4 linked regions of the Xenopus tropicalis genome follow. The protein of the gene in region 4 purifies or fractionates together with the protein of the main gene of each other region. This does not show direct contact. Links are inferred from orthologs where the notes say so. Each region holds a gene or a part of one and is shown on either strand. Other genes may lie near its edges. The genes, in order: lgals1.1, plxnb1, gab1 and met.

Region 1 (5,469 bases), on a different chromosome or scaffold from region 4:
TCCCTTTTGTAAACCACTTTCATTACAGTTACTTGTGCCAAAATGCGCTCTTCACACTTTCGTATAATTGCGCTCAGTGCCAGTCAGCCCTTCCTGCCTTCCCAAATCAGGCACTGCTGCACCTATTCACGCAGGGGAACCTTTGTGTCAATAGCTGCAGCACCAAAAAAAAAATGCTAGGGATGCTCCAAATCCAGGATTCGGTTCGGTATTCGGCCAGGATTCAACCTTTTTTGGCAGTGTTTGGTTTCAGCCGAATCCACGGTCCTGGCTAAACTGAATCCTAATCCAAATTAGCATAAATTAGCATTTGGTAATTAGCATTCGGAAGGGTTAAATGTTAAGGAATTTTTTTTAACCCTTCCAGATCCTAATTAGCATATACTAATTAGGATTCGGATTCAGTTCGGTATTCGGGCGAATCTATCAGGGTGGATTCTGGGGTTCGGCCGAACCCAAAAAACTAGGTTCGGTGCATCCCTAAAAAAATGCACACGTAATCTGCAAGCTGAACACCAGAAATTACACCAGACAGACTTAAGAAATATTTAGTGCAAGTGTGCCTCATGTGTGATTAAGCAAAGGCCTGAATTATTCAAAATTAGAATGAAATGCAGTTTCATGCTGTATGTATAATGTAGCATAGGATCCCACTCATAGCAAAGTGAACTTAAATTCTGGTAGAGGACAAATACCTTAACTGCTGCCTAGTCATGAAGGCTCCTTTAGCAGCAGAAAGTTTCATAGAAATTGAGAGTTTCAGTGGGTGGTGTTGCTGCAATAATGTATTAAATAACTTAAAGGAGACATATCCTATAAAAATTAAGAATGTACCAGAGAATTATACTCCTCTAAATATAGATTGTGCTTAAAAATGTTGTGTTTCTGACTGATTTATTGAGAAATTACACCAAAACCCCACTAGCCCCGCCCATTAGTTCCATTTCCTGCTGGCTGAATTATCTGGATGAGCTGGGGAGCCGCCTGCCCTCCATACACTGCACTGTAGGATAGGAACCAATCAGCAGCTAGGCTGACCTGATAGGGAACTGAAGCCTGTCTTTGCTTGTGGGAGTGCAGGGCTGTGATTGGCTCTCCCCCTCCTACTGTGCTTCTGGCAGGGACCATTAGGACACGCCCACTCTCCATTTCAAACTCGGACAGAGAAGTGATAGGATCTATAGGGAGCTCCAATAAAGGGGCCATTGTTACAGATAGGGTTAATGTTTAGCCCAAAGTGAAACCAGCACCGTATATTATTCATAATTGCCTACAAAATTAGGGTTTTCCCATTTATCCAATATGTCTCCTTTAAGGGCACAAAAACACCCAAAATAGGCAGGCAGCAAGCTCCCTATCACCATTCATCCAAATTCACCTCATAACATGTCTGAATGATGTAGTTGAATGTATGATGTTAGGGGGCAATTAGGAGGCTGAATAGAGGTCACCAGTGTGCCACCCCTCCTGAATACAGTGCTGCCAAACTCATGAGCATTGTATTCATCAGCAAGACTCAGGTCCTTGCACTCCATTCTGAAGTGCAAAGATCTGTGCCTGTGGGTGCTCAGCGAGCAGTAGGGTGCTAAGTGAGAAAAATATCATGACACTACCAAACCAGGGACAAATGAATGTAGGCTCTTTCTGTGCTGCACTGATTGCAAACCAATTGCCTAAAAATAAAAACAATCAGTGTAGCCCCTTTAGTTGAAATATCTAGAGGTGTCCCAGGTATTTCACATGATTGGGTAACCTTAGCATATAGTCAGTCCTGGAGAGTTTAGAAAACACTAGCAAGAGACAAGAGCAAGCACAGACAATAAATGAAACAAAGATTTATTACTTCATGTTTATAGTAAGTACAGAGAGATCTGCTAAGGATATATTGCATAAGATAACATAAAGCTTTAGTAGCTTTTGTGAAAGAAAATTTTCTAACTAGGAACTATATAGTCCTCCCCACAGCTTGTCAGTGACAGTGCATTATGGGTCGAAGAACATTTCCTGTATGACATGTTATATATGTGGCCTAGTGGCTTCTATTGACTGTGGAGGCCGCAGAGCTGTTAATGAAGCGAAAAAGACTTGAGCTCTATTCCATCCATACAGAGGAATGTAATGGTATCCAAGGGCATTCGGATGGGGAAGGTGAATTCTTGGCCATCGGATAACTTCACCTTTAAATGATCTGCTTGATACTCAAAACAAATCTGTCAAAATAGAGATAATGATTGCTGTAAGTCACACAAATAAAGACAAATATGCTGACTTAATTCAGAAAGACAGTGCCGGATAACTTGTCTGACTATAAATCCATCATCAAATCTTGTCATACTCTTCCTCATGCTGTTAAACCTTTTAACAAGGAGCACTGGGATGTTCTCAATGCTCAGTCCCTGTGCTACTCTGGCCCTTACACAGCTATTCCAGTGGCTCTCCCTGATTCTAACTACTTGCTTATGCTTCACACGCTCATGCTGCTATATTACCAGATCTTAGAGCAGTGTTTTTTTGCGTTTTTGGATTTATTTCCTCGTTTAAGGTCTAACATTTGGATGGACCCCCTTAGCTAACAAGGTTGCATATATATGAAAAATTATGATGGATACAAATATCTAAAACATAAAAGAAATGTTCATCCCAAAACTCACTGTAAAGGGAGCCCAGGCTGAGGTTTCAGGAGTATCTAGAACAGGGATCCCCAACCTTTTTAACCCGTGAGCCACATTCAAATGTAAAAAGAGTTGGGGAGCACCACAAGCATAAAAAAGGTACCTGGAGGTGCCAAATAAGGGCTATGCATTGTAAATGTCCTCTTGTATTCCCCACATAGTGGAAATAAAGTATGCTCATCCTAATTCTACACTAGAAATACACTCAACCTGGCTCCCCTCATCCCTCTATTATAAAAAGACACTATTAATAGGGGTGCCCTCTGGAAGAGATAGCTATATATCATTTGCATTTAGGAAAGAATCATTCACCTCGTCCAAAATAGTCAGGACACGGGATCACTCTCACATTTTGTATATGCTCAGAATAACCTGATTCTATTCACCATAAATGTGGCCTCAATCCATTCACTTAATCCACCAGTCACATGATCAGTTCATATAACAAATGTGTTTTATACAGGTTTCTGAACCACCTGGGTGCATCACATCCCAAAGAGTGTCCAGCAAATAGCATATTTCATTCTGGACTTTTATTTTGAACTCCAACAGCCTTGATTGGAGGCCAATCCTACCATTTTACAGAAATATTCATTAATCATGTGACCATCATATGCTCATGCTTACCGATGTCTCTGCTCCTTGTTGGAATGGGAAAGCAGTCTCCCTCTGCTCTTTCCCCCAGCAGTTTTCTTCCTTTGAGTTGCAGATGATTTTCTTGTTGTCGCCTTGGTGGTCAAATCGAGGATTAAAGTGAAGGACATAGTTTGAACTATCTTTTCCCAGGTTTATTGCAAAGCTTGAAAAAGTAAACAAAATACATGTCAGAAAGTATTGTACAACCAACGGTATTGAGTACAATAATTAGTGTTAAACAGTACAGTAATTAGGTGCCTTTACAAGGCCCAGCAGGAGCTCATGTAATCTAGACCATGTCCTGTTATTTGCTCTAGGAGACAGGCCATTGTTAAAACAGAATCTTGTTAAAACTTATTAGTATCCCCTACTATCAGCACTATGTATATATATATAGGGCTAGGCATACGTGCATTGTGTAGCCAGTGCATGGGCATCAGGTCCCCCATTTTGGCACAAGATTTTGGCATGATGAAAAGCTTATCTTCATAACAAAATGTCCAAAATGGCACCTGCCTACTTGCTGTGATTGTGAATTCCAGGATTGAAGGAAACAAGATTTAAATAATTTATATGGTGTGAATAAAGTTGATTTTTCTTGACAAACACAATAGAAAACAATTTGGAATTATTTATTAGGGTGACAGGTCCCCTTTAAATGTTTATCTTATTTATGCATTAGAAACGGCTAACTGCACATTCCTCTCTGCAGATATGCAGACAAACATTTAAAATGAAATGAGACTCTAACCTATGATCTTTTACAAATAAAAGAACCAATTGAAACACTGACCCACTATTCCCCCTCCCTTCCAACTCGTGCACTAGTCTCATGGCATTCTCACAGTAGCTTTAGTCATTTGGCTATCACTATACAGAGGGCTGGTAGAACATTGTTCTTTCTCATTAGTACTAGGAACATTATTTAATCATTGTTGATCTAATTAACGAGCGCCTTCTGTTTAGGAGTGAGGTAAAGCACACAGACTATGCACTGTATATTGATATTAAGCTCCCTTACTTGTGTGACCATTTCCTTGCATACAGAACAAGACTAAATGAGAGATCAGTGTAGAGGAAGACAGACTGCAAAAGCCTAAGCATAACATTTATAATCATTCAATTTATTTTCCCTTATACATTTTTAACCAAAAGAATCCAGACACCCCTACTAAAACTGCATATGCATAGTTGGAACACTAACTGCTAAAATACAATTTTGATGGATGGGGAACAAGAGCTTTTCTCTGGCATGGTTTGGTCTAGGGCAGTGCTGTCCAACTTCTGTTGTACCGAGGGCCGGAATTTTTCTGACCTGCGTGGTGGAGGGCCGATAATGGAAGCCAGTTTTTACCACTCCCCTTTTTGAAACTGCACCCACTTGAAACCACACCCATGTTATCACATGACCATACCCATACCCATTAATGGTTTTAGTACAGCAAAAACCTGCCATACTCTGCCTGCCTGTGTGCCATACTTGGCTGGTTTGTGCCATACTTGGCCTGTGTGTGCCATACTCTGCCTGCCCTACCCTGCCTGTGTGTTCCATACTCTGCCTTCCCTACCCTGCCTGCGTGTGCCATACTTTCACTGTGTTTGCCATTCTTGGCTGGTTTGTGCCATACTTGGCCTGTGTGTGCCATACTCTGCCTGTGTGTGCCATACTCTGCCTTCCCTACCCTGCCTCTGTGTGCCATACTCTGCTTGCCCTACAGTGACACAATGCTGGCACTGCTCCTACAGTCTGCACAATAACTATATATTAAAAAACTTTATAATTGCAGTACCACCTCAGTATATGTTCTTTTTGTAGTGTGCAGGGATTATTTGTGGGTTTCTACTGCTCCTGAGGTGTGAACAGGGGAACAATGGGGGGGATTACAGCCTGAATCTGAGGTGAGAACCATGCAGGGGGGGCAGTTAATCTCAGTACTGATACCATTTAAAGCTTACACAAGAATAAGCCATCAAAGCAGCCAGACAGGTGGGGGGCCACACAGAGGGGGGTCGCGGGCCGCCAGTTGGACAGCACTGGTCTAGGGCAAGGGTCGGGAACCTTTTTGGCTGAGAGAGCCATAAACACCACATATTTTAAAATGTAATTCCATGAGAGCCATACAATATGTTTGGCCGCAGATGCTGCAGGGCAAGGTCGGGT
Region 2 (6,251 bases), on a different chromosome or scaffold from region 4:
GTCTAGATAAAGAAAGGTTACCCATTTAGGTTATGCAATACTTAGAGAAGACAGACTGGTTGGGTTTCTGATGTTCTTATCTATGGACCTCTTTGTTCTAGGACAGAGACAGTGGTGGAGAAGCTGCTGACCAACTGGATGTCCATCTGTCTATATACGTTTGTGAGGGTAAGTAGCGAGTGCTAGGTATTGGATACATACTTTATCTTTTGGTAGATTGAGTACCAGTTCTACTTTGTAAAGGTCCCCATACACGGGCCGATAGTAGCTGCCGATATCGGTCCCGTGTATGGGCACTTCCGACGGGCCTGCCCGACCGATATCTGGCCTGATACGGTGCCGGACCGACTTTACCTATGCCCATCATTATAATTCGATCGTTTGGACCCAGGGCCAAACGATCGAATTACACTGGATTCTACCGATATCACCCACCCGTATGCCAAGCGAGCGGATCTGCCAGTGTATGGGGACCTTAACTCTGAGATTCCACCTTCCCACAGGGGTCCGGACAATATTGCACTTTTAATGTTTACAAACACTATCTACAAGTTGATAAGCTGTGTATTGGCAAGGTCACCTTAGTCACTGTTGTATTCTTATGGCAGGATTCAGCTGGAGAACCACTTTATATGTTGTTCCGTGGGATAAAGCACCAGGTGGATAAAGGACCAGTGGACTGTGTGACGGGGAAGGCTAAGTACACTCTGAATGACAACCGCCTCCTGAGGGATGATGTAGAATACAAAACTCTGGTGAGTTGTTGGGGTGGCTTCCTATTGTGGACATTAAGGGTGCTCTGTGCTCAAAGTAGGGGCCATGGTAAGCAGTATCTTGTCCCCTTTGTCCCAATCGTTTTATTGGGCCTTAAGTCACAAATCTATTCTGATGGTGGCCATAGATAAGTGTCTAATCCAACATGGTCTTCTCAGCAAGGTCACTAAATTCCCTGAGTATCCGCATAAAGTTAATTCCTTATGTCACTTACACTTGTGGGGAATTAATAAACAGCGGGGGAAGGGGGTCATTATTTCTATTCCTTTGCATATTTTTGTTTTCATGTATGTTACGTCAGATGATTGGTCTGAGCTTCTAGCTGGTTGGCTCCTATAAGTTGCTAGTTCAGAGTAAAATAGTGAATTTTTCCAGTGGTACGTAGATGACATTTTGGGTGCACTTAAACATTATTCCTTCCCAGACGCTGAATGCAATCATGCAAACCAACACGGGCATCACTTGTGAAGAGGAAGCACAAGGGTTGCCGGTGAAATTGCTCGACTGCGACACCATCACTCAAGTGAAAGAAAAGATCCTTGACCAGATATACAAGGGAACCCCGTACTGTAATCGACCAAACCCCGAAGCGCTAGACTTGGGTAAGTCAGGTTGTCCATAGGGAGGGGAAATCTTTAGTAGTGCTGGAACCCAGGGCAAGACAGACTATGAGTGGCACCGTTATTTATATAAAATAATGCCTTCAGCCTTTGATAGCCGCCCTCTTACAGCCATCAACTTGAAAGCAGAGAGAAATGGTATATCTGGCAGAGCTATGGAGTCAGAGTTGCCAAGTCGGAGTCGGAAGCAATTTTAGGTACCTGGATTTGAAGTCAGAGTCAAAGGATTTATGTACCAACTCCACAGCCCTGATATCGGGAGGGGGATTTGTTTTCCTAGCTGTCCCAACAGTTACCAGCTTATAACCATCCTTACACCCTTTCCTCCCGTTCCCCCTGGCAGAATGGAGATCAGGGTTGGCCGGTCATCTGATACTTTCCGATGAAGATCTGACGTCAGTGGTGCATGGGTCGTGGAAAAGAGTGAACACATTGCAACATTACAAGGTGAGACTTTGCACAGGGAGGTCTTCTGCTTGTAGCACCTAGAACACCTAGAACCTACTGCATTACTGGGACTGTATCCCCCCTAACCAGTGGGTAAGGGATTTATATTTATGTTAGTACATGCATGTTCCCCCTCAGTATCTGAACTGGCAGTTTGAGGGCTAAAAAAAATCCCCTTCCTTAACCTCTCTAAAAGATAAGGTGCATTCTGTTTATATGTAATGATAGGGACCACAGGGGCCAGGGATTCTGTCCAAAACCTGTTACAGAAGTTTGTGATTGGTGCTCAGGATTCTTTACCTATTCCTCATTTTCTATTTGCTATTCCCTAATCAACATATGTAAGTAACTTTCTGCTTCGTGCAGGTTCCAGATGGAGCGACAGTGGCTTTGGTGCCCCGTCTGAGCAAGCACATCCACCCAGAAAACCACGATTACATCCCAGGAGAGAGTAAGTTGGTGGTTTTGTTTTATTGTAGCAGGCTGAAAGGGCTTTTGGCACAGGAAAACATGTTTTGTTTCTAAATGCATCAGTTAATAGTGAATCCTACATTGAAATCTGTTTTTCAAAAGAGCAAACTGGTCACACTTTACTACTGTGCTGCAAGTTAGAGTGATATCCCCCCCCCCCCCTCACCCCCAGCAGCCAATCAGCAGAACAATGGGAAGGGAGCAAGATAGCAGCTCCCAGTAGGTATCAGAATAGCACTCAATAGTAAGAAATCCAAGTCCGGCTTGGGACTCCTCCAGTTACATGGGAGTAGGAGAAACAATAGGTTAGCTGAAAGCAGTTCTAATGTGTAGCCCTGGCTCTTTCTGAAAGCTCAGACTCAGGCACACTTTACTGCTGCGCTGCAAGTTGGAGTGATATCCCCCCCCAGCAGCCGATCAGCAGAACAATGGGAAGGGAGCAAGATAGCAGCTCCCAGTAGGTATCAGAATAGCCCTCAATAGTAAGAAATCCAAGTCCGGCTTGGGACTCCTCCAGTTACATGGGTAGGAGTAGGAGAAACAATGTGTAGCGCAGGCTCCTTCTGAAAGCTCAGACTCAGGCACACTTTACTGTTGCGCTGCAAGTTGGAGTGATATCCCCCTCACCCCCAGCAGCCAATCAGCAGAACAATGGGAAGGGAGCAAGATAGCAGCTCCTAGTAGGTATCAGAATAGCACTCAATAGTAAGAAATCCAAGTCCGGCTTGGGACTCCTCCAGTTACATGGGAGTAGGAGAAACAATAGGTTAGCTGAAAGCAGTTCTAATGTGTAGCCCTGGCTCCTTCTGAAAGCTCAGACTCAGGCACACTTTACTGCTGCGCTGCAAGTTGGAGTGATATCCCCCCCCCCCAGCAGCCGATCAGCAGAACAATGGGAAGGGAGCAAGATAGCAGCTCCCAGTAGGTATCAGAATAGCCCTCAATAGTAAGAAGTCCGGCTTGGGACTCCTCCAGTTACATGGGTAGGAGTAGGAGAAACAATGTGTAGCGCAGGCTCCTTCTGAAAGCTCAGACTCCATATTGTGTCACAGGCAAGGGATAGATTTTGCTGCTTTGAAGAGCAAAGACAAAAGCAAATTTGCTCCCTCTTTTTTCTCTCAGAGACCCCCATGCTGGAAGATTCAGACGAGGGTGGGGTACGGGTTTGGCACCTCGTTAAACCGACAGATGAACCAGAACTTCCGAAACACAGACGGGGAAGTCTACGAGACAGAGAGCGTGCCAAAGCTATTCCCGAAATCTACCTGACTCGCCTGCTCTCAATGAAGGTAAGAGAACGTTTGATGGTTTCATCTGCCTGCGGTCTCATTTATGTGCTCTTTCTCTATGCGCAGTCTGGGGATGTCACGGAAAGTAAGAGGGTTGGTCTGATGTTCTTCTGGTTGGGGAAAACATTAGAAACCTCAGATAATTTTTCCTCACATCTTTCCTAACCAGAAGAACATCAGACCGCCCCTCTCTTTCTCAATTTCCTCAACTGGATCACAGAAACTGACCAGCAGGTGGCACTGTTGTGACAAAATGTATTCATACTAATAGCACTTGTGTCTTAATATTTTGAAATGAAAACAAAAAAATAGAATAATGAATGTAAATGGTTAATGTGCTTTTTGGTGCAGTTGGTCCAAGACGGGATTTGTTTTGCCTCTTTTTATTTTGAACACCTTTAGATGCAACTCCATAGAGGTTACAGTCAGGGCAGTTTAAGGGCTGAGAGGGGTAGCAGAGAAGGTCCGATTGGGGTGAAATAAATAAAGACTGGCTGCAGTATTTTTAATCAATCTAGATGAAAAGGCGATCAACTGGAGGCCTGCAAACAAGGGCTGCCATGATTTTGTGGCATTTTGGGTGATACTTACTAATAATCTGACAGTTTTTAGGAGGAGTTGGGAATATTTTCTTTGACGGGATGAAGGAGATTGCGGAACGAAATATGATGCCCAGGAAGAGAACCCGAGTGCTAAAATGAATGATGGTGTTGATTGCTTAGATTGATAGGCTGGGAGTCTGTATATATTATATATCTGTATAATATGAGGAGGAGGTAGGAAGAACAAGGCCCAGTACATACAGCAGGGAGGAAGTCAAACACTTGAGCCCTCAGGGTCAGGGCATGAGAAACTGATCCAAGAGCTGTCAGGCTACAGCGGGAAACCAAAGCTTCAAGTGATGGGGGTGCTGGATCCTGTTGCTGCAGCAGCTGAACGGCTAGAAGTCCCTACTCGACCCAATCATATAGTAACTGGAGTGGTCGCTCTGATTGGAAGGATTATCACCTTCTAATGTATCAGCCCCAGGTTCTTCCTGGAAGCACATTCTGGAAATGTAACTAAAGTGAGTGCGGAATGATGACTCTGTAGCAATATTTCCATCTGTTTATGATCACTAGAAGCTCTTTTGTTTGGAGTTGCACAGGGAATGCCCAATCCTAGGCAAGCAACGTGGCAGCTCTCTCAGATGTGTAAATTCAGATAGGAAGCGAGGGAATGCTCTGTGCATACTATGCCCTCGTAATCTACTCTGGTTAATGGGGATGAGCATCTAAAAATAACTTTAATGAAGAAATAAAGATAAATAGAACAATGTCCATGATGTACCATAGAGTGAATTTGTTTTGCCAAATGGGGGCTTTAGAAAGTAGGTAGGAATTTGGGTTTCACTTGTTGTCTCTATTTTTGGCCACTATAATGTACTTTGCCATTTGTTGGAGCGCCATCTGCTGGACTGCCCAGGTCCAAACACCGCAAAGTGCCCTCTGGTATCACACATTAATATTTATTTCCATGATTTCTGCTGTTTCTCAGGGGACTCTACAGAAGTTTGTGGACGACCTTTTCCAGGTGATACTCAGCACCAGCCGGCCCGTTCCCCTCGCTGTCAAGTATTTCTTCGATCTATTGGATGAGCAGGCCATCAGCCATGGTATCAACGACCCAGAGACCATCCACATATGGAAAACAAACAGGTAAATGCTACATGGAAGCTTTGGTGCCCCAGAACTGTTCAGCTACAAGATGGCGGCTCCTTGTGGGCTGCAATAGGCAGGTCCCCAGGAACCTCAGCACTGGTCATGTGACCTGTTTACAAGGGGAAAATGGCAGAACAAGCTGGACTCTAGATTCTAATCAGGACTCTTCTAGATCCAGGCACTCAATGCAGTTATATAGGAACCAGTAGATTTGTGTGTAATTCTTATGTGTTGTCTCTTTTGTTTGCAGTTTGCCATTGAGGTTTTGGATCAACATCATCAAAAACCCCCAGTTTGTATGCGACGTGCAGACATCGGACAACGTGGACGCCGTGCTGTCGGTCATTGCACAAACCTTCATGGATTCTTGCACTATCGCTGATCACAAGTTAGGAAGGGTAAGGAGAGAGTTAATTCTGCATAACCAGTTATATTTCAGTTGCGCTCAACTTGGTGCCCCTTGTGCTGTGAGAATAGTACAAAGGACATTGTGCAATGGATATTGTTATACCTTAGGGATGTCCATCCTGCAGCCCTCCAGTAATTCTCTTGGGCTTCACTCTGTCTCATTGACCCAACTAAGGGGCCTCTGGAGGTTTTCTCCAAGTCAATGGCCTGCAAAAGCACTTCATGAAGCAAGAGCTCCCCCTAGTGGCCATGGCTCCTTCACCCTGCTTTTCCAATCCCCAGAAATCAGGCAATCAGGCAATCATTTAGGCCCAAGACCAGTCTATGTGAAAGAGACTAGCCCATGTACAGACAGTTGTTAGACACTAAGGGCAGAGTAGATTCATTTACTTGGGGTGGAGGTTCCAACTGGTGCTGGTGACAAATGGGCCAAGCTTTTCTATTGGCTTATCTGCTTAATCATGGAAATAAAATATGAAAATAACCCAGGCATGGGCACTGCACATTTGTTATTATTATACAGTTGGTAGGGCCCAGAAAGT
Region 3 (6,251 bases), on a different chromosome or scaffold from region 4:
GATCAACATCTGATTGGTATACTCCACTTACAAAGCTTTCAGAATGTGAGGACAAAACACTACAAATCTCACTTGAAATTAGTCAAGACGAGTCAAGACATTCAGATATAAGTTTTAATTAATAACGCACAAATACACACTCACAGACCATGCAAAGTCCAGCACTATCTTGGCTGATAGACTGGCCACTATACACTCACTGCCATGAGATCTTTTTGCTTTCAAAATCTTCAAGCAGTAGATAGTCATCTTCTGATATTAAAGATGAGGCCCCTTGCCTGATTTGCAGATATAAATTACAGTAACAAAGATTGTGAACATGAAATTTCTGACATAACAAATCAGTAGGATTTTTTTGGTTTTGAAACCCAATGCACTGTGTTCCATTGCCTGCATAGGGCAATCCATTTCTGGTGTTCCCATGCCTAGTTGGATTTTCTTTCTGGCAAACAGCAGAAATCCCTTTGTGCTTTATGATAGGGAATCTAACAATGTATTCCTATTATTTTTAGTATGCCGTAGTTTTACTAATTTAATAAATTAAATATAAAGTAAGTCTTCCAATGTTCTTGATGGCATGCTGTTATATGCCCTTTTGTTTCATCTCCATGAAAAGTAAAAAAATACCTAACTTTGTATTTCTTGGCATGCAAGTATACCTACTGTTTTGCTTGGTCCCGAACCCTGGATTTTGAGAGAATGGGGAAAGCTATATGTTTAATGACTATTTTGGTTATAGCTTTCAAACTCATCAGGTCAGGAAGAAACTACATTCAAAATGTTGCCTCTCTGAAACTAGAGAAACTTAGATTACATTCTGTGCAGAACATTAAAAGAGAAGGAAAGGTTAAAACTAAGTAAGCTATGGTCTATATAAATACACACAGTATTGCTGCTCTGCATTTCTTGCCTTCTATTATATACATATAGTTCTCTGTATTAGACTTCCTTCTCTCAGTTCAAACCTCCAGGGCTTGGGCATGCACAGCTTGCTCCTCTCTCCTTTCTCCCCTCCCTGCTGTAATCTGAGCCCAGAGCACAGACATGCAAGCAAGGAAGTGATGTCAGACCAAGCTAAAATTGCAGCTGCTATTTTACACAGAGAGAGTTTGTAAGGTTGTTTACTCAGGTATTAAAAAGCATTCTACAGAATAAATATAGCGTTCTAGCTTGCACTATTGTGGCTATTCTATTGAAATAAACAAAAATATAGCAACTGACAGGGACCACATGTCTGAAGAGATGGCAGAGTGATGAAAAGAGTTGGTGAAAGAGTTTCTGCACTATACAGGAGTGACACCATTTAACAATATTTTGATAATGTTACACATAGATAATCAAGAAAATATATTTCATATTAAGGACATTAGAAGTCACGTCTGAGTTCTGTGACTTTATAAAAGCACAAGACATTTTATATGGTCATAATGCTTACAGAAGCCTTACAGAATGGTGCATCCGCTGTATTTATTATAGAAAACATGCTACCTAACACCAACATGCATGTATATATATATATATATATATATATATATATATATATATATATATATATATATATATATATATATATATATATATATATTATATACACATATATACATACACATATATATATATAATATATATATATATATATACATACACACAGTGGAGGAAATAATTATTTGACCCCTCACTGATTTTGTAAGTTTGTCCAATGACAAAGAAATGAAAAGTCTCAGAACAGTATCATTTCAATGGTAGGTTTATTTTAACAGTGGCAGATAGCACATCAACAGGAAAATCGAAAAAATAACTTTAAATAAAAGATAGCAACTGATTTGCATTTCATTGAGTGAAATAAGTTTTTGAACCCCTACCAACCATTAAGAGTTCTGGCTCCCACAGAGTGGTTAGACACTTCTACTCAATTAGTCAACCTCATTAAGGACACCTGTCTTAACTAGTCACCTGTATAAAAGACACCTGTCCACAGAATCAATCAATCAAGCAGACTCCAAACTCTCCAACATGGGAAAGACCAAAGAGCTGTCCAAGGATGTCAGAGACAAAATTGTAGACCTGCACAAGGCTGGAATGGGCTACAAAACCATTAGCAAGAAGCTGGGAGAGAAGGTGACAACTGTTGGTGCGATTGTTTGAAAATGGAAGGAGCACAAAATGACCATCAATCGACCTCGCTCTGGGGCTCCACGCAAGATCTCACCTCGTGGGGTGTCAATGATTCTGAGAAAGGTGAAAAAGCATCCTAGAACTACATGGGAGGAGTTAGTTAATGACCTCAAATTAGCAGGGACCACAGTCACCAAGAAAACCATTGGAAACACATTACACCGCAATGGATTAAAATCCTGCAGGGCTCGCAAGGTCCCCCTGCTCAAGAAGGCACATGTGCAGGCCCGTCTGAAGTTTGCCAATGAACACCTGAATGATTCTGTGAGTGACTGGGAGAAGGTGCTGTGGTCTGATGAGACCAAAATAGAGCTCTTTGGCATTAACTCAACTCGCTGTGTTTGGAGGAAGAAAAATGCTGCCTATGACCCCCAAAACACCGTCCCCACCGTCAAGCATGGGGGTGGAAACATTTTGCTTTGGGGGTGTTTTTCTGCTAAGGGCACAGGACAACTTATTCGCATTAACGGGAAAATGGACGGAGCCATGTATCGTGAAATCCTGAACGACAACCTCCTTCCCTCTGCCAGGAAACTGAAAATGGGTCGTGGATGGGTGTTCCAGCACGACAATGACCCAAAACATACAGCAAAGGCAACAAAGGAGTGGCTCAAGAAGAAGCACATTAAGGTCATGGAGTGGCCTAGTCAGTCTCCGGACCTCAATCCAATAGAAAACCTATGGAGGGAGCTCAAGCTCAGAGTTGCACAGAGACAGCCTCGAAACCTTAGGGATTTAGAGATGATCTGCAAAGAGGAGTGGACCAACATTCCTCCTAAAATGTGCGCAAACTTGGTCATCAATTACAAGAAACGTTTGACCTCTGTGCTTGCAAACAAGGGTTTTTCCACTAAGTATTAAGTCTTTTTTTGTTAGAGGGTTCAAAAACTTATTTCACTCAATGAAATGCAAATCAGTTGCTATCTTTTATTTAAAGTTATTTTTTCGATTTTCCTTTTGATGTGCTATCTGCCACTGTTAAAATAAACCTACCATTGAAATGATACTGTTCTGAGACTTTTCATTTCTTTGGACAAACTTACAAAATCAGTGAGGGGTCAAATAATTATTTCCTCCACTGTATATATATATATATATATCAATCCAAATGGTGTCCGCACTCCAAGGCTCAATATTCTGCGGGGTGCATAGCCAAAATTATGTCTGTATAGAAAATAATCATCTGTGGCCAGCACACCCTTCAATGTTTCATCAAAAATTTTTTATTTTAAATATATTGTTAAAACCAACGTTTCGGTCCTTATTAGGACCTTTCTCAAGGATATAGATATATATATATATATATATATATATATATACTTCCATGTGCAGACTTATAGAACAAAAAGGAATGAATGTGTATAAAATAATTAATCATATAAGCACATTTTCTGTTGTAGGATGCTATGTACTCGCTTCCTCAAAAATGTCAGTTAACATGATGAGAGAAAAATTCTGAAAAACTGAAGGAAATGTAGTAAAAAGTACCGTATTTTTCGGACCATAAGACGCACCGGACCATAAGACGCACCAGTTTTTAGAGAAGGGAAATGAAGAAAAAAAGATTCTGAAACAAATACTGTCCTAAAATATTTTATGTGCATTAAAAGCGAACCTGTACCAGCAGCACCCAACATATTGCCCCCCACCTGTACCAGCAGCACCCAACATATTGCCCCCATCTGTACCAGCATATAGCCTACAGATATACTTTAAGAAAATGTTTTTACTTGCCCGTGTGGTCTCCGTGCAGGGCCCTCCTCTATTCACCGGCGCTTAGCTGTGGCGCGGTGCGCATGCACAATGACGCGCATGCGTATGGGCATGCGCGTCATTGTGCATGCGCACAGCGCCACAGCTAAGCGTCGGTGAATAGAGGAGGGCCCTGCACGGAGACCACACGGGCAAGTAAAAACATTTTTTTAAAGTATATTCGGACCATAAGACGCAGGGACTTTTTCCCGCCACTTCTGGGGGAAAAAAAGTGCGTCTTATGGTCCGAAAAATACGGTACTCTAAATGAAGAAAGTATTAAAAAATTCCTTTGCACTAGAAAAGGAATTATTTGTTTTTTTACAGCAAAAGTAAAAATGCTTACCTCAATGGTTCAGGTTTCTTGCTTTGGCAGTTTATTAGTAAAAGATAGTCCTGGGGATCTTCTTGGCTATTTGAGGATTCCACAAGTGGCATATTTATAAGCTGGTAAGGGGGAGGTAGAGGGCCTTGGACCAATGCTGCTTGGTTGGAAGGTTCTGAATTAACAGCAGGTTTTACAACATCTGCAATTGTAAAAAAAAAAAAAAAAAGGCAAATTATATTTTACTACACAAACAACAAGCAAAAAAAAAAAGTCATATAGTTATGCCCTTTCAAATCCTAATTAGCATATGCTAATTAGGATTCGGTTCAGTATTGGCCCGCATCCATTAAGATGGATTCGGGGGTTCAGCTGAACCCAAAAAAATTGGGTTTGGTGCATCCTTAACTGTGAAATGCTATTGTTTTCGTAAAAAAAAAAAAAAAAAAATTATACTGTATATACTCGAGTATAAGCCGAGTTTTTGAGCACTAATAATGTGCTCAAAAAGGCACCCTCGGCTTATACTAGAGTATATACGGTAGTTACGTTCTCCCGGCCGTGCGCCCCCCCCCCCTTACTGCATAAGTATTTCTCCTTCCCGAGCACAGCCCTGCCATGCATCGCCAGATCGCGCCGGACGGCACACATCGTGCCCTACACGTGCTGAATGTGCGTTCTGGCGATGCATGGCAGGGCTGCGCTCGGGAAGGAGAAATACTTATGCAGAAGTACTCACTGGCTCTGACTTATTTTGTTCTTAGCACTGCTAATTCTGAAAACTAAATGAAGCAGAAGGCAGCTGATTAAGAGGTATGCAGAGGATGGGTAGTGGTGATTGTGGAAGTTGGCATAATGGCCTGGAGAACACATATTTTTGATAATCAGAACCAGATGTGATTGTACATAAACAGATAAGAACATATATATTTTGCTTTTAATAACAATTATTTTTAAAAATAATATATATGGGGTTAGTGTTGCGTTTTAATGGACTGAAATAAAGTTGTGCATCTTTTACTTACAGAGTGGTATTTGATTGAGTTTATTATTGTGTTCAGTTGTTGTACCCTCCATTGATACTACTCAGTGTAGTGTATGATTCCTGCGTGGGGGGGTAGACTATACAATTTTTTACACTATTGCTATGCAATCTTGTGTGAAAATAAGATTTTATGTACTGTATATACTCGAGAATAACTGCACATTTCCCACCCTAGGCTTATACTCGAGTCAATAAGTTTTTCCAGTTTTATTAGGTAAAATTAGGTACCTCGGCTTATATTCGGATCGGCTTATACTCGAGTATATACAGTATATATTTTTATATATATGTATGCTCCTTTTGAATTCGATCAGTTTAGGATATGCACTATTATTGCAGAGCCATGCCATTGTCTGGATGACAGCATTTGTTGCTCCAAAACCTGTTTAGCATTAATGGTGCCTTCCCACTTATGCTAATTTACATTTTACACAGTGGACTCTTTAACAAACACTGGGCAAATGTGTCAATGTGCAGTAACACATAGCAACTTATCAGTGTCCCAACTGTCCCAAATTTTGCATAATAATAATATATATATATAATTTTTTAAAAGGAATTGCGCATTAGTTAAAAGTTCTCCTTCAGAAGACTAGTGCATTGAAATCCATTTTTCAAAAGATCAAACAGATATTTTTGTATTTCATTTTGAAATGTGATGTGCAGCTAGATATACTCAGTTTCCCAGGTGCCCTCAGCCATGTGACTAAAGGTGACCATATACAGTGTGATCCACTCTTTTGGCGAGGTCACCAAACAAGCTGGTCTTCTCTCGATATGCCCACTTACAGTGGACGATATCATTTATAACCATGGTTACATAGGCCTTCAGACCAAATGCCACACCACTAAGCTGATGTGATCCCCAATCTGATGGGAAAATCAAACCTACCCGACCGAGATCTGCCCAATTTTAGGCCAGATACTGGTAGGGTAGTGCTCATAAACAGGCAA
Region 4 (6,251 bases):
CAGTGGTTCCACACATGCTAAATATTCTCTGGGCTAAGCTTAGAGGTTGCCAATGATTATCAAAACATTAGCAGAAACTGAGAATACACCTGTCATTGTAGCTAATTTGGCGTGACTACATGACTGGTCATTGATAATTTGGATGCAAAATGCATCGCTTTTTATAACCCCCATATAATTTGAACATGAATTAATGATTGTGATTTTTATGTTTAAGAAATAGAATATATTGTGAGTTGACCCTAAGCCCAGGACTGCAGCCCAGTGAATCAGCAAAAGAGAATACAGGGAGCTACTGGGATAATTTTCAGTGACACACATTCATTGCTAAATGGCTGTGTTGATCTTGAGCTGGTACATAAGTGGAAAAGGGTTGCACCTCCTGCTGCTCCTACCTTGCACCTCAAAATGATGTGAAATGTAGGGGAGGACACCTACATGGCTCCCCCTCACCCACCTCCTTTTGAATCTAGTGTGGCCTAACACCAAAATGGAAAGCAGAGGCCTGCAGGTTTAAGCATTTTAAAATGAGCCCTATGGTATAACATGACTATTTCTTTGTTGAGCTTTATCTCACTTAAAATCATAGGGCTGCTGCCCCAATACCAGTGATCCAGTGCTAACTTCCCTTCTATGCCTTGTGGCCAGTATGAAAACACCTTGGTGATGATTTAATAACAGGTGCAAAATGCGCTATAGTAAGTAAGTCTAGTAAGAGAGCAGTAGTGGCAGAAAGATGACCCAAGCTTTAAGGGAATAATGCACATTTCTTAAACATAGCATTAATCTTTGAGGTTTTAATGTTTTACAACAGGGATTAGATTATTTTTTACAATTAAGAAGTTTCAGTGCATCATGTGAAAGAAACTACATAATTAAGCCCCATTCAAAGCTGTTGATATTACTAAGCACTGTTTATAAGGATACCATATACAAGATAATCATGGCCATAATATATTTTTACCTCAGTCTATCTAGACACTAGCAAGGTTTTATATTATTTACTGGGACTGGCATTCCAGGGAGTAAGTTAATAAGTGGCCCCATGTGTTTGCACCTTTCTGGAAATGTTTATTACTTATAACAAATGTAAAAAATGAATTACATGTTTTTATGGACAGTGTTTATGTAGAAAATGGCTACTTTACAATTGAATCAGAGGCACATAGCCAGTTAGATCATAAGATGAGATGTTAGAGATGTCAAACATGTCACTATGGCCCCTCCTAAGGAGAACTGTATAGACTGATAGCCATCAATAAATAAACTAGCTATGTGGCGTTGATTCATATTTCAGAGTATTTCCACTTGAGGGTTTTCCTTTCTGGTTTAGTTTGTTCATGTTTGACACTAATATGATATGATAAATTTGGTGTTCCAGGAGAAATAATCTATTCATTTGCTATATAAAGCTAGTGCAGGTACAATGGGACTGAGCTTCTTTTAGGGACTGACAATAGATAAACCATACATACAGTATCTTCTGCTAAGAGCCCCTGGGGCACAACTGTCTCAATCTGCCTTCCATGGATTGATAGATTATATTATGTCTGTATAATCCATTATTAATAGTGACAGTGCCATCCAATGAATGTGTTAGGGCAATTATGTGTTTGAAAAAAATAATGTAAATAAAAATATTACATATATTTAAAATAATACACAGTATAACAAAAAAAACTATCTTAACGGTAATCTCTGGATATTATGACTGACATCAACAACAGTTGGTTTTTGGCTGTCTTCCATCTGGAATTTATCAACCTTGCTGATTTGTGCATCTAGGAATTTGTCATATCAGATTTAAAAAAATCAAGCAAATCTCACTCGAGAAAAGCAAAATGTTTTTAAGAGAAAGTAACCCTGCCATAATATTCTGCTCAATAAAACCTAAAACTGCAATAATGTTTTATGGAGAGAATAGGAATTACGTTTAAAATGGATGTCTGTCAGCACCTACAGACAATACAACACCTCAATGGCCATGAAAACCTGCGTCTGTTTTCAGTCATTGGTGCGTATGTGTGTATGTGGAATTTCTACATACAGAGAGGGTTGAAAATGTGCTTATTAAATTTGTTACTGATGAGAGATACACAGTTGACACACTATTCATATCATGTAACTTTAATCAAATGCTCTGTCAACTCTTGAAATGTCACATGTAACTTCAGTACCACAAAGAGGTTGGATTAATGTGACAGCTGGAGTGCTCTGAAAGGGAACAGTCTCAGTTGAAAGGGTTAATCCTTATTATAAATTTTCTGTCCTTGTGTTCCCTTGAGACATTATCTGTCAGTAAATAAATTATTGTCCCCAAAGTCAGCAGCTGCCGACCATAATGATACTGTTTTGTCATCGCCTGATTTTGTTTTGGCTCTGAAAAGGTTTTCAGATCTTTTTATTGAATAATATCTTTTATTTTCTGTCATGTTAGAGGTGACATCATGCTATGAATATTGTAGCATGGAAATGTGCAACTATACAGCAAATTGTAATAACTTGAACTAGGTTACAACACTAAACAGGCAGCATTTTATGACCTATCATACTATTGTATTACCCAGAAAAATGAGGGAAGTATTTCCCTGTCGCACTAATCTTTCACTTCCTGCTTTCTCTTCGAATGCACACTACTATTTCCTTATCATGGAGGAGTTTTGCTTAATGAGTTGGGGTATTAACCTATAGCAACTATTCAACAAGAAGAATCTACTGGTTCTGTTTTTTTAAGGCAAAAATCGAATTGCATCAAACAGATTAAATCAACACAATGCATATTGTTCTTAAATAACTTCCACTGATCCTTATATCAATGGGACAGTCCCAGTGGCACTATTAAATAGTTTTGTATATGTGAATTATCAAAATGCTGTTTATCAAGTCAACATTTTTTTTCTCAGGACCAGAAGGTCAAAGTGCCTGTGAAAATATCAACGTAATTAACAGCATTTTAATATTGCACAATTGCATATGCAAGACTCATCCCTGCCTCAATGATTTACATTTTTGCTTTTAAGCTGACTTATTTTAGTACCAGGGCAGTGTTTTATTGGTGTGTACCTGCTCGAGTACTGTCACACACATACATACACACGTTTGTATTTGTATTATACCATGCCTGATAAAGGGACCTAATTCATTCTCATAGCTTGCAATTGCATTTCTATCCAGATCATGGTTATCAATTTAATCCCACATCTGAAATAATAAAGGTATATTAATAACACTGGGTCTAGTGATGGTGAGAGTTCTTGAACAACTTGGGGGCCACAATATACAGTATAATATAATATTAATACATGTTAGCTATGAATTTGGTCAAGTTCTGGAACTCACCTTGTTGTTAATGCATAATCTGTTGTCTTTTTCATAAAAATGCTCAAGACACTTGGTGTTTTGCTTGTCTGCAGCGTTGTTGAAGAATTCATTGATGGTTTTCACAGACACAGCACAGACAGCTGACCTGTTGTTTGCCTCAGAAGAGTCAAGTTTGCTTTGGGCGAAGACAGCATAAAGTATATCATCATCTGGTTTGACGCCCATCTCTTCTGCCAAATCTTCACCAGCTCTGCCTAAGTATGCTGCTTGTAAAATATTAAAAACTGCACCAGCGGTAGACCTTTTTCTTCGTTTTTCAGTAAAAATACACTCCAGGGGCATCTCAATATAGGAGCGCAACTCAGAGTCTGAAGAACAGACCCTCACAATTCTAGTGTGATAGGCCTGAGAGTCAATGGACTCTCGCTGTACAGTTAAAAAGTAAACAAAATTGTTACTTTCAAATGTATAAATATATTTAATGGGATATATATCTCTGAGCTGGGGTAGTACATCTATGTATGACTGATCTGTGAGGTATTCAAAGCCATCCTGGGTCTCCTTCAGTCTACGCACTGACACAGAATGAATCGTCGAAGGTTGTCCTGTTAGTGTGCTACCCACAAAAAACTTTACAAACCTGTCTCTCACTGTTACCAGGATCTTGCTTCCTGTTGTACTAACAATGCAGTCAGGACAATTGTCTTTATCTTCTATCATTTGTGATGAATATAAGCAATGAACATTACTTGCTATATCCCAGGGTTTATCAGAATGCAAAGTATGACGCTGACATTCACCTCTACGTATATTTCCACAACTAATGAGCTGGTCATCATAGAAATCCTCCACAAACAGAGCCATATTAACGTTGTCTTTCCAGGTGCCATTTGGGGACAGAAAATTATCCGTGCAGTTTTTACATGGCAAACAATGAGAATGTACCAATAATGGACCTGTTTTATACTCAGAAACCTTTGTAAGATTTTCATTCAAGACATAAATCTTATTCACTGCTCCCACATATATGTAGCCCTTAAACATGATAATATTTTGTATTGGTGTATCTGTAGTGAAACTCTGGAGGTTGTGCTTTATATTCAAATCCATTTCTGCCATTTTGGCTGCTTCCTCGCATTGTCCCATACATTTCAGCAGCAAGCTTAGGAACACAAAAGCAACAGGAACAGCCACGAGCATCTTGGCATGTACCTGAAAAAGACAAGAAGGAAAAGGGCTTAAAACAGTTAAACTCAGCCCTGACTATCTCATGTCTAGACAGCAGAGTCATGAAGCTGACTTTCAAATACAATAATAACTAACAAAAGATGTAGTCCACTTAAACATTTTTAGCCTCCATTTAAAAAATAAGTATATTTAGCTTCAATGGAGTGTGAAACAATGGGGTTCCAAGGTAAGAAAGAAAAAATGCAATTTTCTTTGTGCCTTGACCAGCTTTACTAACTAGCACATTTCCTTTATAATGGTTAACAATGGAGGGGTTTGATGTGGTACAGAATGACGAGTAGCATGACATTTAGACCCTGTGATGGATAGGGTAAACGACTTGTGGCTACCCAGGCCTGATTGCCACAAATATATACTGAGTCATATATTATTTTGCTCTGCTAATTGTGCTCTTCTGTTACTGAGCTAAATATAACTTATCAAAGAAAGTCAACAATTAGAAATTTAAGAAGTAATGAACCAGATGTTGTTTACAAGAAAACAATAACTGATAAAAGATTTTTGCAAACCCTTGTGATTCACAAAAGATTGCTCATATCCACACTGGCTTCCAGGCATTTTACAGCAAGAAATAAGCTATAAGGTTTAGAAATAATGCTTGATAATTGCTATCTTTTACAAATATTATAAAACAAGATATATGTTTTCAACAGTTGCTATTAAAGAAATGCTTTCATATATAATGACAAATGCCTGTGTATGTTATCGCTTGGTAGCTTGTCAGCTTATTTTCATGAATGCTTTCAGGGGTCACTGCAAGTCTCTGTGGTGGGATTGGGGCGATTGGTGATCTAATGATCTGAAAAGAGAATCAGACTGATGTCATTGCTCTTGGCTACACAGCCAGCAGAAAGTACAGCATGTGCTATTTTTCTTCTTATATTTTTATATAAGATAAGAAAATACAATCATGAACACTGAACTGCAATCTACAGACAGTAGGGAAATACTCTGGAACAAGAATACACAATTCTGACTATTTGAAATGGTGGCATTGGAGAATACAGTTGGTTTTTCTAGGGTACAAGGATGTTAGAGCAGTGAATATCAACAGATATTTTCACAAGATTAGGTGAAAAGATAGGCAAGGAAAAGGCCAATAAGCCTTGGTTAGACATTTTATGGTGGTCATATAGAATAGAAATTGGCAGCTCATTTTAACCCCCTTTGGCAAGTGTAAGAGATCTTACTTCTGTCATTCTTCTCATGTGACCTGATCTTTGGCAAGCAGACTTTGCAGTGTATGGAAAAGGTTATGGAAGTGTATGGAAAAATTACATTTATTGTGCCCTTGAGGCTCCTTTAGGCTTCAAACGTTTGTCGGGATTGCCACACCTGTAACTGTGGCCTTGTACAAGTCAAGATACATACAGATACGGATCAATGCAGTAGGTAGGGGGTCCTGTTACGTAGAGCTTTCCATTTAAAAGTTAGTTCCAGAACACAGAGAAATAGGTCATTAAAAGGGAACTTCACCCAACAACTGTTTCTTGCATGATGAAAAAATATAAATTTCTTAGCAACTTTCCAATATACATGAATTGGAAAAGTTTAATAGTTTTAGAATTAAGCTAAAGTAATGGCTATTGAAAGCAGTACAGGTATGGGATCCGTTATCCGAAAACCCCATTATTCAGAAAGTTCTGAATTATGGGAAGGTTATCTCCCATAGACTCGATTAT

What was found.
Region 1: the proteins of met (region 4) and lgals1.1 purify together in Homo sapiens (affinity purification with mass spectrometry; 3 studies listed by BioGRID and IntAct, with this or other methods). This does not show direct contact. The link is inferred for Xenopus tropicalis from reciprocal best matches to the Homo sapiens genes MET and LGALS1.
Region 2: the proteins of met (region 4) and plxnb1 purify together in Homo sapiens (co-immunoprecipitation; 3 studies listed by IntAct). This does not show direct contact. The link is inferred for Xenopus tropicalis from reciprocal best matches to the Homo sapiens genes MET and PLXNB1.
Region 3: the proteins of met (region 4) and gab1 purify together in Homo sapiens (affinity purification with western blotting; 3 studies listed by BioGRID and IntAct, with this or other methods). This does not show direct contact. The link is inferred for Xenopus tropicalis from reciprocal best matches to the Homo sapiens genes MET and GAB1.

Annotation. Positions count from the first base shown.
Region 1 is NC_030680.2:122,665,950-122,671,418, forward strand, and holds the end of lgals1.1 (galectin-1), read right to left. Parts: intron 3,472-5,469; coding exon 3,300-3,471; intron 2,211-3,299; coding exon 2,067-2,210; 3' UTR 1,816-2,066; downstream 1-1,815. UniProt on the Homo sapiens protein: Lectin that binds beta-galactoside and a wide array of complex carbohydrates. Plays a role in regulating apoptosis, cell proliferation and cell differentiation. Inhibits CD45 protein phosphatase activity and therefore the dephosphorylation of Lyn kinase.
Region 2 is NC_030680.2:139,210,089-139,216,339, reverse strand, and holds part of plxnb1 (plexin-B1), read left to right. Parts: intron 1-101; coding exon 102-168; intron 169-608; coding exon 609-755; intron 756-1,198; coding exon 1,199-1,376; intron 1,377-1,737; coding exon 1,738-1,841; intron 1,842-2,207; coding exon 2,208-2,292; intron 2,293-3,434; coding exon 3,435-3,601; intron 3,602-5,137; coding exon 5,138-5,298; intron 5,299-5,551; coding exon 5,552-5,699; intron 5,700-6,251. UniProt on the Homo sapiens protein: Receptor for SEMA4D. Plays a role in GABAergic synapse development. Mediates SEMA4A- and SEMA4D-dependent inhibitory synapse development. Plays a role in RHOA activation and subsequent changes of the actin cytoskeleton.
Region 3 is NC_030677.2:59,283,400-59,289,650, forward strand, and holds part of gab1 (GRB2-associated-binding protein 1), read right to left. Parts: intron 4,455-6,251; coding exon 4,274-4,454; intron 1-4,273. UniProt on the Homo sapiens protein: Adapter protein that plays a role in intracellular signaling cascades triggered by activated receptor-type kinases. Plays a role in FGFR1 signaling. Probably involved in signaling by the epidermal growth factor receptor (EGFR) and the insulin receptor (INSR).
Region 4 is NC_030679.2:68,199,996-68,206,246, reverse strand, and holds part of met (hepatocyte growth factor receptor), read right to left. Parts: intron 4,534-6,251; 5' UTR 4,522-4,533; coding exon 3,340-4,521; intron 1-3,339. UniProt on the Homo sapiens protein: Receptor tyrosine kinase that transduces signals from the extracellular matrix into the cytoplasm by binding to hepatocyte growth factor/HGF ligand. Regulates many physiological processes including proliferation, scattering, morphogenesis and survival.